Linked DNA regions of Arabidopsis thaliana. The protein of the gene in region 2 interacts with the protein of the main gene of each other region in a pairwise test. Each region holds a gene or a part of one and is shown on either strand. Other genes may lie near its edges.

Region 1 (3,257 bases), on a different chromosome or scaffold from region 2:
ACGAATGGATTTTGATTATTGTTCCAAGACTAGTTTGATCCATCAAAGCGAAAGTTCAAGCAATTTTGCTTCTCCGTCTGAAAGTCAAAGGAAGAAAGGTGAGAAAGATAAAAAAAAAGTTTCGTTGAGGAATTTCATCGAACATGTGGTGAGCGAAACATACCGTATACAGACGAAACATGGAAGTATAAGTACATCTAGAGAAACATAAAAGAGATAAGACAGATGTCATGTAGGAAGAAAAAGGAAAGAAGACAGTGATTCGGAGACAGTATCGACGGAACCGGACGAAGCGAAAGTAGGAGTAGCCGCGCGTGAAGGTTATGTAGAAAGAGACTCCTTTTTGACATTTATTCAATGTTCTGGCATGTGCTCAGATGATTTGGGCCGCTTGTTTAGATTTGTCCACTTCCAGACCCATTGCAATTGTAACCCATTTTAGCCCACTAAAATCTGACTGTAACAACTTTATAAATTTATGGTTTTTTCAAAATATTACCAAGGTTAAATAAATCGTGTTAGATGAAGTTGGCACCAGTTTTTGATATTACAAAATGAGGTCACTAGTATTTTTTTTATAAGAACTTATAATAAGTAATTTATTAATTGCATTATTTCATTAATATTGATTTTATATATACTGATACACTAGGGTTTTTATAAACATTTAAATTGTCTAAAATCGCATAGACCAACCGAGTAGGTGTGAATATTTATTGTCAGATATCAATAATCTGCTAGACGTTTCTAAAAACATCTCTAATCGTAACTTACCAAGTTACCTTTGAGGTTTCTTCTAAATGAGTCGGTGACTATGATAAGACGGTGTATCACATCACAATCAACTCCCAAATGTCAGTGTCGAGAAAAACCTAATCAAGTATCAACTACAAAGAATTGGTTATGCATCCGAAGGATGAAAACACATTAAATACATTATGAGACTGGGTTTCTCCGTGGATGATTCGTGTTTTGGATGTGGTTGTGTGTGAACTAAAATTTGACAACCATGTACATGAGTCAGCAGACACAGAAGAAGACAAAAAATAACTTTTTCCAGTTAGTTTGGGCTGTTGTGTCTGTGTGTTGTCCGTGGAGAATCATTAAGTCATTACAGATCTTTGGTCAAATGCCAAAAATAAAGGACCCCCTTTAGACGGTGCTCATGTCACGCATGACGCAATTTGTAACCAAAAAAGGCAAAGAAAGTCTTTCTTTATCCCACGTGGTTTAACCATCGACGACGACGTTTTCACATTCTTCATCGGTGGAGTTTGAATCGACTTTTGTGTTTTTCACTGCTTTTCTCTATACTATTATGTCATCACCTATTTTACAGATTTTTATGAAACGAAATAGAGGATATATAGTAGTATAAAATTCTAGATTTCGACTTAAGACTTTTTCATATAAAAAAAAATGAAAAACCTATAAATTAAGGTAACCTAACTATGATATACCAAAGCAACAACAACAAAAAATAAAGATTAATTTTCTATTTTAAAAAAACAAAAAATATCATTTATTTTGAAACCAAACAGAACGGTATATATACCACTTGTTTTATAGAAATGACTCTTACTTTCTAAATACATTGAATTTACTGTTAGACACAGCAAAAAAAAAAGTTACAACTTGAAAGAAAAAAAAATCGACTAGTCAGGCACATGTCAAATTGGTACCACTAAAAAAATGGGTCATACTTTGACCAGTTGATTTTTTCCTCGAGAATTAACTAGTTTTATAATTGGTCAACTTCATTCTCATTCTTGATTCATATTAAAAAATATTATATAATATTTTGACTTTCACTAAACTTCAACGTATAAATAGTCTTTGTATCTTCATATTCAAACATAAACAACACTCAAAAGTCTCTTCTTCTTCTTCTTCTTCTTCACATCGATCATCATACAACAACAAAAAATGGATTACAGAGAATCCACCGGTGAAAGTCAGTCAAAGTACAAAGGAATCCGTCGTCGGAAATGGGGCAAATGGGTATCAGAGATTAGAGTTCCGGGAACTCGTGACCGTCTCTGGTTAGGTTCATTCTCAACAGCAGAAGGTGCCGCCGTAGCACACGACGTTGCTTTCTTCTGTTTACACCAACCTGATTCTTTAGAATCTCTCAATTTCCCTCATTTGCTTAATCCTTCACTCGTTTCCAGAACTTCTCCGAGATCTATCCAGCAAGCTGCTTCTAACGCCGGCATGGCCATTGACGCCGGAATCGTCCACAGTACCAGCGTGAACTCTGGATGCGGAGATACGACGACGTATTACGAGAATGGAGCTGATCAAGTGGAGCCGTTGAATATTTCAGTGTATGATTATCTGGGCGGCCACGATCACGTTTGATTTATCTCGACGGTCATGATCACGTTTGATCTTCTTTTGAGTAAGATTTTGTACCATAATCAAAACAGGTGTGGTGCTAAAATCTTACTCAAAACAAGATTAGGTACCACAGAGAAACAATCAAATGGTTGTGAATATACATTATAAGGTTTTGATTAATGTTTGTTTCACTGATTTAGTGAAGTTTGGTCCATTGTATACAAATCTATTCAAGAAACCTAGCGCGAGATCATGTTTCGTGATTGAAGATTGAGATTTTTAAGTATTCGTAATATTTTTGTAAAATACAAATATGTTTCTGATCAGCTATTATTCGATACGAAATACATGGGCGAAAGCAGGCGTCCTAATTGTGATGCTTTCGCCCAGTGAAAGACTCCGACAAATCTACAAGAGTTCCTCCAAGTACCTTATAGCTTAAGTCACTGATTTCTCTCTCAAGTGTCATTTGTAAAGTCTCTGCTTATTGAATGTTTCTCTTCTTCAATCATTCCATCAAGATTGTCCGCCAAATTGCTTTTGGAGATCCGTGAAGGATACGGTGGCTGAACCTCTTCGTTTGGCCTGCGGGTGAGACGAATGTTCTCTCCATCCTGTCATGTAAATCACCTACACAAGAATGCCAAACGATATATACTTTAGGCCTCAAATGTTGTTAATTTCACTTGTAGTATTTAGCATAAAATTGTTTTAATCATGGATTGTAGCAAAACAACTTGAATAATGAAGCTAGGTTATGGGTTTTTTTCACTGTTGAGTTAGTTCTGAACTATTATGGACAGACCTGAAAAGTAGCGGGTATAGTGCCGTCCTCTGTGGCAAACATGGAGTCATATATGGCTGCCGTGGCAACAGCAGTTTCACGATTCAAAATCTTGTTTCTCTCGAGAAGAGCA
Region 2 (3,573 bases):
AGCAGTTTCATTCAGATGACAATCTGAATGTGCAAACAAACATGTCTAAAATCTTAGAAGTCTAAAATACCACTATATATGGACACTTTCTCGAGAAAGTATTTTAGAAGTCATTATTTTTTGATTTTTTGTTTTAAACTTCTAAATGGACATCTTTCACATTTAAACAAACAAGAAATTTATATATTTCACGATAATAATTAATTCTAATTTTATATATAGATATGCAGCATTTCTAATATATATATATATATATATATATAGAGAGAGAGAGAGAGTCATTAGTTTTTCGATTTTTTGTTCTAAACTTCTAATTATGTGAAAATAGAAAATGATAATTTCACAATAGTAACCGAAAGAAAAATTTGGTATATTGGAGCAAAGGTCAAGTAAAGAGGAAAATAGAAAATTAATGGTTGCTAGATATATAAAGCTTAAATATATAATGTATTTCGATAAAACTATCTTATAAGTATTATAAAACAGATTAATGAAACCACTTACAATCTTTAGAAATAATGGACGACATAAGATTTCTCAAATATATTTAAAAAATCTCTTCCTAATAGGTAGAAACAATTTGTTTCACTGAAAAAAAAAACTCCCCTTAGTTTTTTTTTTGATCATCTTCGTATTTAAGCTTAAATAGAATCATCTCAGATTAAATTATTTACAGACTTACAATTTGAAAAATTATAAAATGTTGAATGTAACTTGAATATTTTGTGGGAATACGTCAGCATTCATGAATGTATCTTGGATATATTTTACCATATAGTTCAGTAGTCTCATTTAAGAAAAAAAATAACACTTAAGCTATTCAAGCTTTCTTTTTATGAATATATATATCTGAAAATATCTATATATATATAAGGAAAACAATTGTTATTCTTTACAGTTCATAGACCATTTTTTGTCATTCTATTTCTTTTTTGGGTATTTTTCTCCCAATCAAAACAAAGAAAGTAAAAAATTTGATTACTACGGAAAAACTAATTAAAGAAATCTCGTATTTTTATTTCTAGTTTTTAGTAATGAGAAAAAACAACTGTAGTCAATCACAAGCTGTCTAAGTTAAATGTTTATAAAACACCTTCCAAAGTAATATTTCCATATAGTAGAAATATAGAATGCAATTCCTTTGTATTTGCAATGACTAATTATTTTCTATAAAAATAGTGAAGAATAACATCATCCTTCCATAGTAGTTAAAGATGCTACTTTGACTACAGTTGGTTTATTAATTATTATTTATTTTAATTATTATATATTTTTACACAAAAAGAAAATAAAAGATTTCATAGAAAATTTAGTAGTTTGTAACAGTAGTTCAAACGAGTTTTGTGCACTATTTCTTGTAACACTAAAATATCAATTTCTTTAACAAGATGGTTAGAAAAATAGACTATTAAAGTACTGTTCGGTAGTAATTTTTGTAATTGCAAGGACATGTAAAAACGTCATAGTAATATCAATTATATTATAGAAATATAACCAAAATAATAAACTATGTTGGTACAAATTTCACATTTTTACTATTTTGGATTATTAAATATATAAAAATTTAAAAATATGAATTTAATTTGATATACAGAACATAAAAAAAAAACTGAAATGCAATATATTCGTATGTATAAACAAAACATAAAAATTAAAATGAAATGCAATATATTCGAGTATATAAAAAAATACCTAGTTATATAATATTATAAGTTACATATTCCACATAAAGTGTTATATTGAGAGTCAGAAAAAAATAAAGAATTGTTACAGAAACAACCATAAACTTCAAAACTATGGATTCATAGTAGTTGTACATTTATTACTTAATTACATAAAATTCACACAAGCATATCATTTTGCAAGTCAAGTAAAATCAACATAGTTAAAGAAACAGCCAGATATGAACTCATAGTAGTTGTGATTTTAATTAATTAAACCCTTGGAGATTTTATACCATAATAGTTAACGAACATTAAGGTTACCTTCTCAATAAATAGCATCCTCATTTCTCCGAATCTATCACAAAGAGATAAAGATCACTTAACAAAGAAAAAAAAGATTTGTTACAGAGAACCAGCTATGTCTTCTTCAATGTCTTCTGCAGGCTCTTCCACACCCAAATCCAAAAAGCTCAAAGGCATTGTTGTGGACATGGAGAAGTCGAAAGAGAAGGCAACAAGGAACACTATTCTGAAACTAGGTTCTCCTCAAGAGGTTACCTCTGAAAGGAGGATTGAGAACTCTAGTTTTGGATCTAGTGCTGTCCGAAGAGGAAGAGAGATCATGAAGTTTTACCCGTCAAAATCAAACAAGATCTACACTTGTCATTTTTGCAAAAAAGGTTTCTCAACCTCTCAAGCCTTAGGTGGTCACCAGAACGCGCACAAGCAAGAGCGGGAGTGGGACAAAAAGCGGAAGGAGATGGAAGCTGAGTATCCTGGACTCTCCTTTTTGAACCCTTTCCTTGATAAGCCTCACATTCTCTTAGGTGGTTATTCACAAGATGCTTTATCAAATGAAAATCATCTTGGGATCACTCTTGATCCTTTTAAACGCTTAATTTACCCATCTTTCAATGCGGGTATGAACATGGCTGTAGTTCCTCGTGTCACTCCTACTCGCTTCTTCACCGGGAACACTAGTACCAATGGTTCTACTTCAAGGGTCCCTGATCCTTTACCATCCTACAACAACCTTTACCCATCAAACTCTAGAAACGTTCTTCCTTTTCCTCCTCCTCAAACCACCAAGCTTTCTAGCAATTTCGTCTCGCAAGGAAACGTTTTAAGCGAAGAGAATTTCATCTCAAAGATTGGAACAAACAATATTGTGGAGATTGATGATGATGATGATGATATTCAGCCAGAAGAAGAAAAAACTAAAAGCGGGAGAATTGATTTATCTTTATCCCTTTGAGTATCTTTTTTTAGTTCTAAGCGTTATTTAAGTTTTCATTTCAGAGGTTTCATAGTTATTAGAGATCTCTATTCACCACAGTTCTATATGAAGATTGTTTTGTCCTTTTTAAGTTATTGAATTTCATTTTGAATGTTCATTTGTTTTTGTCATCTCCTCTTCTATTCACATGTAATTGTGTTTTAGTTATTTCCCCAAAACACAAAATTCTTACTCCGATGTCTACATTAAAACCTCCATTTATTAGTAATGTCGGAACCCTGAAATTCTATTAATTTATAAAGGTATTAATCTTTTTGATAAACTTTATATAGGTGTTTATTTTCATATTTTTTGAACATTCCTATTTATAATTAAGAAGTTTTTGTTATAACCAATTTTAGAGTTTAGAAAGAATCCTTGCTACTGTCCTTAATTGTGATAATGCAGTCGAAGACAATATTACATTACCTTTAAAATTAAACATTTACACGTAAAAATAGTTATTGCGTCTAAAAAATCTTTCACAATTTTTGTATGCAATTCGAATAGATATCACCATAGTTTTTGATATATAATAAGAAAGACTGAAGAGGAGATCCAATAAGAATGGAAATTCATGAATAAGTCAACAAAACTAGAGTCATATATATATATATATAATTATTAGTTTAC
Region 3 (5,964 bases), on a different chromosome or scaffold from region 2:
CAATCGATTTTTCATTGTTTTATGTACTATAATTTGATTTCAGCTCACTACATATAATATTTAAACGTGACATGTTCATCTTTTTTCGTCGTCGATCGACATATCAACTATAAGATTAGTCGGTTGTACGTATAAATCTTGACCTTTTACCATGGATTTGTCCTATAAAAGCTTACTAGAGACTAGAGACCAGAACGCATTAATATTATTAGGTCTATCTTCTATCACTTCATAGTGTTTCTTTAACACTCATGTTTTGCAAGTGTCGTTTTGTACTATTGGAAAAGATTATTGTTATAAAAAAAAAAATGAAACAAAACTCTAAAAAATCAGTTAATCTTAGTTATAAAACATTATCCTGCTAGAAATCATTGCAACTTTAATAAAGTATTGAGTCTTGAATCGTTATGTCCACTTCGTTTATTTTATATAAAAGTTTGTCAACTAATTAATAGCTGATTTTTTTTTTCTTTTAAGAGAAAGAAGATCTCGAAATGAGAATTAAAGATAAGATATATGGTTAGGTAGCGAGTAGAAGACCAAAGCAAGAAACTACGACCACGACATCTTGCACATAAGAAAAAAAAAAAGTAGTTCAATTTCATTTTCGCTTTGGTCCACTTTATTATTTAACAAAAAATAATATCTAATAAATTACATTAATATAACAGTCCGTGTTAGACTAAGACACGAAGCCTCCCCCACTAAATCGACGCAAATAAAAATAAACAAATGGTGGGGTTAAGAGTTTAATTCGAGCTGTGGAATTTTTTTATAAATATACAAAAATAATAATATTTAAAATAATATATATTACGATAACAAATTTTTATGTCAATCAATTATATTTTAAGAATCTTCTAAAATCAAATATTATTGAACTAATAATTTGAATAATAATTTTAATTCCACTATTATTGAAAATATTCATATCATTAGTTTTTAAGGGTGTATAGTGAAAAAATTCCTCAATTTCAAATATGTTAATACAAATTTCCCTTTTTAAAAATTATCATGAAATTGGACAAACTATATTTATATTGAAAAAGATATATAAACTTATACAACACAAATTGTAAACAAAAATAACATGATGTTCTTCAATAAAATTATAAATCATCAAACCTAAACTCTAAAATTGTCAAAGTAAAAAACCTAAATTGACGAATTCTAATTTATTATAGCGAAATTCTCTGATGTTTGTATGATGTCGAAGTTGATTATGAGAGATTTTGTAAAATTTTGTGTTTTAATTTTAACCATAGTTTATCTAATTTTTACGACAATGTAGAAAGACAGGATTAAGATATTTGAAAAATTGAAGTTTTTTTTTATAAAATATATAATTGAATAATTTCTTATAGAATTTTAGAAAAAAATTTTAGATAAAATTAAAAAACACAAATGTAATTCTTTTATGTAGAATTTGGGGAACCAGACTACAACAAATCATAAATTTCTCTAAATTTACCTAAAATCATATTAAAAATTAATAAATCATTATGAATCTTAAATTACTTAAAATATAAATTTGAAAATACTCCTCTAACTCAGAGATCAATTTTTTCTAATGCCTCGTGATTTTTTTGCATCTTGTAGCTTAGTCACCTATATATATTTTTAGTGGTAACAAGATTCTCTGTTAAAAAAATAATAAAAATTAAAAATAATAATAGTTTATTTTATGGGAAAAGACGCGAGTGGCTCCCACCAGCCTCAACTTTGCCCACGTGGAACCAGCCATATGCGCGGCGTTTAGACAACAAAAAAAAAGCGTGTTGTTTCTTTCTCTCTCTAGAAAGTCAAAAAAAGGAGACAGACAACCAAACACTGCCTTGTCACATCTCTCTCTCTCTTGCTTTTGGCGAGTAACGAGTAAGTCCATTTTCCATGTGCCCACTGTGTCTTCTCTCCTTACACGCCACCATCTCCTCCACCTCCTCCTCCCTCCCTTCTCCAATTCCCAATTCTCCTCCAAACCCTAGGGTTAGGGTTTCCACGATTGCTTCACCTTCCCTTCTTTTTTTAAAACCTCAGATCTTCCGCTTCCTCGTTCTTGTCTTTTTGTTGAGCTGAGAAGCAAAAAAAAAGTGTTCTTTGGCTTCACGAGGAGCCAACAACGAATCGATGCCGGAAATCGATCTTATGAGAGTCGATCATTGTGTTTCCGATGTTAAATTAGATGATTCTTCTTCTTCTCCTCCGGGATTCTTCGATGGTGGTGGTGTTCCGTTAGATTCGGATGTGAAGTTAGACGAAGAAGATTCCGATTCTTTGAAGAAGAGAGGTAGACGTGGTCGTCCGCCGAGAATTTTAGCTAAAGCTTCTTCGCCTCCGATTTCGAGGAAGAGAAGAGAAGATGAAGATGTTTGCTTTGTTTGCTTCGATGGTGGTAGTCTTGTTCTCTGCGATCGTAGGTTAGTGAAGTTTTGAGCTTAGACAAGTTACTCTCCCAGCTCCATTACATTCCTACTTGTAAAAATAGAAACTTTTACTTGTGACTGATGATGATTCTTTCTTAATTTGTCAGGGGATGTCCAAAGGCTTATCACCCAGCTTGTGTTAAGCGTACTGAAGCATTCTTCAGATCGAGATCTAAATGGAATTGTGGTAAGTTGTTCAATTTTTATCTGTTTTCTCTTCTTTGAGATGGTTCATAGTGATGAGGATGGTTTTTTGGTTTCAGGTTGGCACATATGTACTACTTGTCAAAAGGATTCGTTCTACATGTGTTATACTTGTCCGTATTCAGTTTGTAAGAGGTGTGTTAGAAGCTCAGAGTATGTAGTTGTAAGGGAGAACAAAGGATTCTGTGGAATTTGTATGAAGACTATAATGCTTATTGAGAATGCAGCTGAAGCTAACAAAGAAAAGGTATGAGAATCCTGTCTACATTTTGTTACTTTCTCTTACTCGCAGTACTACAAGGTTATTTGTGGAACTTGAGGTCTGTTCTTGTAATGTCGCTTTGTTTTTTTAATGTGGATTCTTTCTTCTAGCTAAATGTATTACATGTACATTTTCTAGGTTCAGGTTGATTTTGATGATCAAGGCAGCTGGGAGTATCTTTTTAAGATTTACTGGGTTTCTCTTAAAGAAAAGCTAGGTTTATCGTTAGATGATCTTACCAAAGCAAAAAATCCATGGAAATCTTCTTCTTCTACTGCCGCTAAGCGAAGAACTACTAGTCGGGTTCATGAAAAGGATGATGGAAATTCTCCTGGGGTTATGAAAATACGTCGTGCTAAAGTAAGGAAAATGGATGCTGTTTCTGTGAGTAATTTGGGTCCTTCTTTGGATTCAAACTGTTCTTTGGGTGACAGACTTCCACAATTGACTAGTGCTGCTACTTGGGCAACCAATGAGCTTTTGGACTTTGTGGGGTATATGAAAAACGGTGATATTTCTGTCTTATCAAAGTATGATGTCCAAACTCTCGTGCTAGAGTATGTGAGACGGAATAATCTACAAAACTCTCCTCAGAATTCTGAAATAATGTGTGACTCCAAGCTTATGAGATTGTTTGGAAAGGAGCGAGTGGACAACTTGGAAATGTTAAAGCTTCTTGATTCTCACTTCATCGATCAAGTTAGGTCTCCAGTCACAGATAATTCAGCCGGAGGAGTCACTGAAACTATGTCTTACCAGGTTAATGCGGGCAGAAGCTGTGATAGGTTAAATACATCTGAACAGCATCAAGAAGGGGAATCACAGCAATTGAACGGGCACAGTATTCAAGTTAGACCTTCCAGTTCTGATAGCAGAAACCATGCAGTTGTAAAACCTGACACAAGTGCCACTCTGTCCAATAAGCCAATTGATGGTTTGGATACAAATATGGTATGGTTATATGGAGATCCAGATGGGAAGATTCATGGACCATTTTCGTTATATAACCTGCGACAATGGAATTCAAGCGGGCATTTCCCACCAGAGCTGAGAATATGGAGGTTGGGTGAACAGCAACACAGCTCCATACTTTTGACTGACGCATTAAATGGGCAGTTCCATAAAACAGGGTTATTACAGAATCATTCTATCCCCAAGCAGGAAGTGACAGCTACTATAGCTAACGATCAAAACAGGTCTGTGGCTGTTCCTAAAATAGAGAGTAGAATACTTGACTTCAGCCCCAACTCAGTGTGCACTGACCAGAGTGTTATTTCTAGCAGTAACAGTGTCATCACAAGGAGCTCGGATGTGAGTAACAAAAGCGGAAACAATTGTAGCCACGCCGTGCCATTGGATTTTTCTCTTTCTAATGAAAGGGATACTGTGGGTTTTATCTCTCTCTGGGACAAAAGAAAAGTTGAAAGTTCTTTGCTTGTACAAAGCCCAATAAGCTGTTCACTCTCGCTGGCTACATTACCTAGAAACTCAAACTGCTCTCTGCCACCACATGAAAGATGGAGTGCTGGTCAGACAGATGGAAACAGTGCAGCAACGACTGCTTGCAATCAAAACGGTAGTCTTAGCGGCTCAGCTGAGAAACAAGTCACGGCTACAGTCCAGTCATGTGGACAGAACTGGAATGCTGCAACTCCAAGCAGTGCTTCAAATGTGTGGGATTCGAACTCGGGTTTGACGTCTTTCCCAGACAATCAAGAAATAGACTTTTTAGATCTCTTTAGTCCAACTTTCAAATTCAACTTTGCATCTACTACCACTGATTGGCAACCCATTGTGGCTGGACCTGACGAATGCGACGAATCAGTCTCAGATCTTTTGGCAGAAGTGGAAGCCATGGAGTCCCAAAAACGTCTTCCTTCTCCAACTTCGACATTCCGTGGTCCTGAAGAATTATTAATCCGGCACTCAATAAACGATAGCTTCAGTCCCGCAGAAGGACATAGCCCAGCACTAGATGTAAGCAAAGGTGACTCCATGAGCTCCACAAACGATCTTCAAATGCATTCACGATCTAACAGCACCGTGCATTTTTAGTCGTGGGCTCGGGTTCACATAGAGAGAAATCATAACCTGGGGCACAGGTTACCATAGATCATCCAATGTCCTAGATTCGTCTGATCGATGGTGGACTATGCCCTCTTTCTTCTCTTTTTTTTTGCAGGATTATTACAGAACATAAATAAATGGCAGAATCATCAGCAAAAATGAAAAAAAACGAGTGGTGCATATGTAGAAGATGTTTCTTCGCGGTATTTTTGACTGCACCCATTGTTTTCTTCAGTATTTAGGTTTTGTAACGTTGTCCTGTGTTAAGATTTGCACAGACATACCCAACTTCTGTATCTTTTTTTTTTACATTGTTTGTACTTAGGAACAAGTATAAAAATGGGAAGAAATTGTTGTCCATGGATGTAATCAAAACATTTGTAGGGATCATATCATCTTATTATTCTATATATATGATAATGATAGTGTAACGTTTCATTCTTTTTGTTTTGAATGTTTCAAATCTATTTATATCATGACAAGTGTAGGCTCCAGTTTATTCTACTTGTTTTTGGAAAATGAGACGAACTCTATTGATCGTTTCTGGATTTGGAAACTTTTTGTTGTTTCTTCGATTTCGTTTTTGTTGATCTGAGTTGATGGTGGAAGCTACGTCAAATTTGACGCCGTCGCAGAGATACGCGGCAAGCGCTTTGTTTGCAATCGCGCTTAACCAAGCGCAGATCAGCCAGTCAAAGCCATTGGGAATCCCGGCCACCGGAAGTACCGGAGAGCCAATCAGCAGCGACAGTGATCCTATCTCCGATGAGGCGGATCTCTGGGTCCACGAAGTTTCCGGCCTCCTCCGTCCTGTTCTCAGGTGATCTTGAAATCATCTGGAATAGTCATGTTCATATGCGTCTCTGTGTGTGTAATGTATACATTTTGAGCTGTCTCTGTAATTTGCTTTCAGATGTCTTCAGATTGATTCATCAGCTTGGCATGGCCTTGAAGAGATAGCTGCTTCTACTCAGGCTAAGGATCACATCGGTGCGGTATGATTAATTT

What was found.
Region 1: the proteins of AT5G27880 (region 2) and AT1G22810 interact in a two-hybrid assay, tested with the Arabidopsis thaliana proteins (one large-scale study listed by BioGRID).
Region 3: the proteins of AT5G27880 (region 2) and AT2G18090 interact in a two-hybrid assay, tested with the Arabidopsis thaliana proteins (one large-scale study listed by BioGRID).

The regions. Positions count from the first base shown.
Region 1 is NC_003070.9:8,073,639-8,076,895, reverse strand, and holds AT1G22810 (Integrase-type DNA-binding superfamily protein), read left to right. Parts: upstream 1-1,858; 5' UTR 1,859-1,926; coding exon 1,927-2,361; 3' UTR 2,362-2,665; downstream 2,666-3,257. Other genes in the region: AT1G22800 (S-adenosyl-L-methionine-dependent methyltransferases superfamily protein), read right to left, coding at 2,857-2,970, 3,146-3,257.
Region 2 is NC_003076.8:9,883,826-9,887,398, forward strand, and holds AT5G27880 (C2H2 and C2HC zinc fingers superfamily protein), read left to right. Parts: upstream 1-2,047; 5' UTR 2,048-2,082; coding exon 2,083-2,919; 3' UTR 2,920-3,017; downstream 3,018-3,573.
Region 3 is NC_003071.7:7,862,374-7,868,337, forward strand, and holds AT2G18090 (PHD finger family protein / SWIB complex BAF60b domain-containing protein / GYF domain-containing protein), read left to right. Parts: upstream 1-1,820; 5' UTR 1,821-2,127; coding exon 2,128-2,417; intron 2,418-2,530; coding exon 2,531-2,610; intron 2,611-2,686; coding exon 2,687-2,874; intron 2,875-3,027; coding exon 3,028-4,944; 3' UTR 4,945-5,447; downstream 5,448-5,964. Other genes in the region: AT2G18100 (transmembrane/coiled-coil protein (DUF726)), read left to right, coding at 5,556-5,776, 5,870-5,951.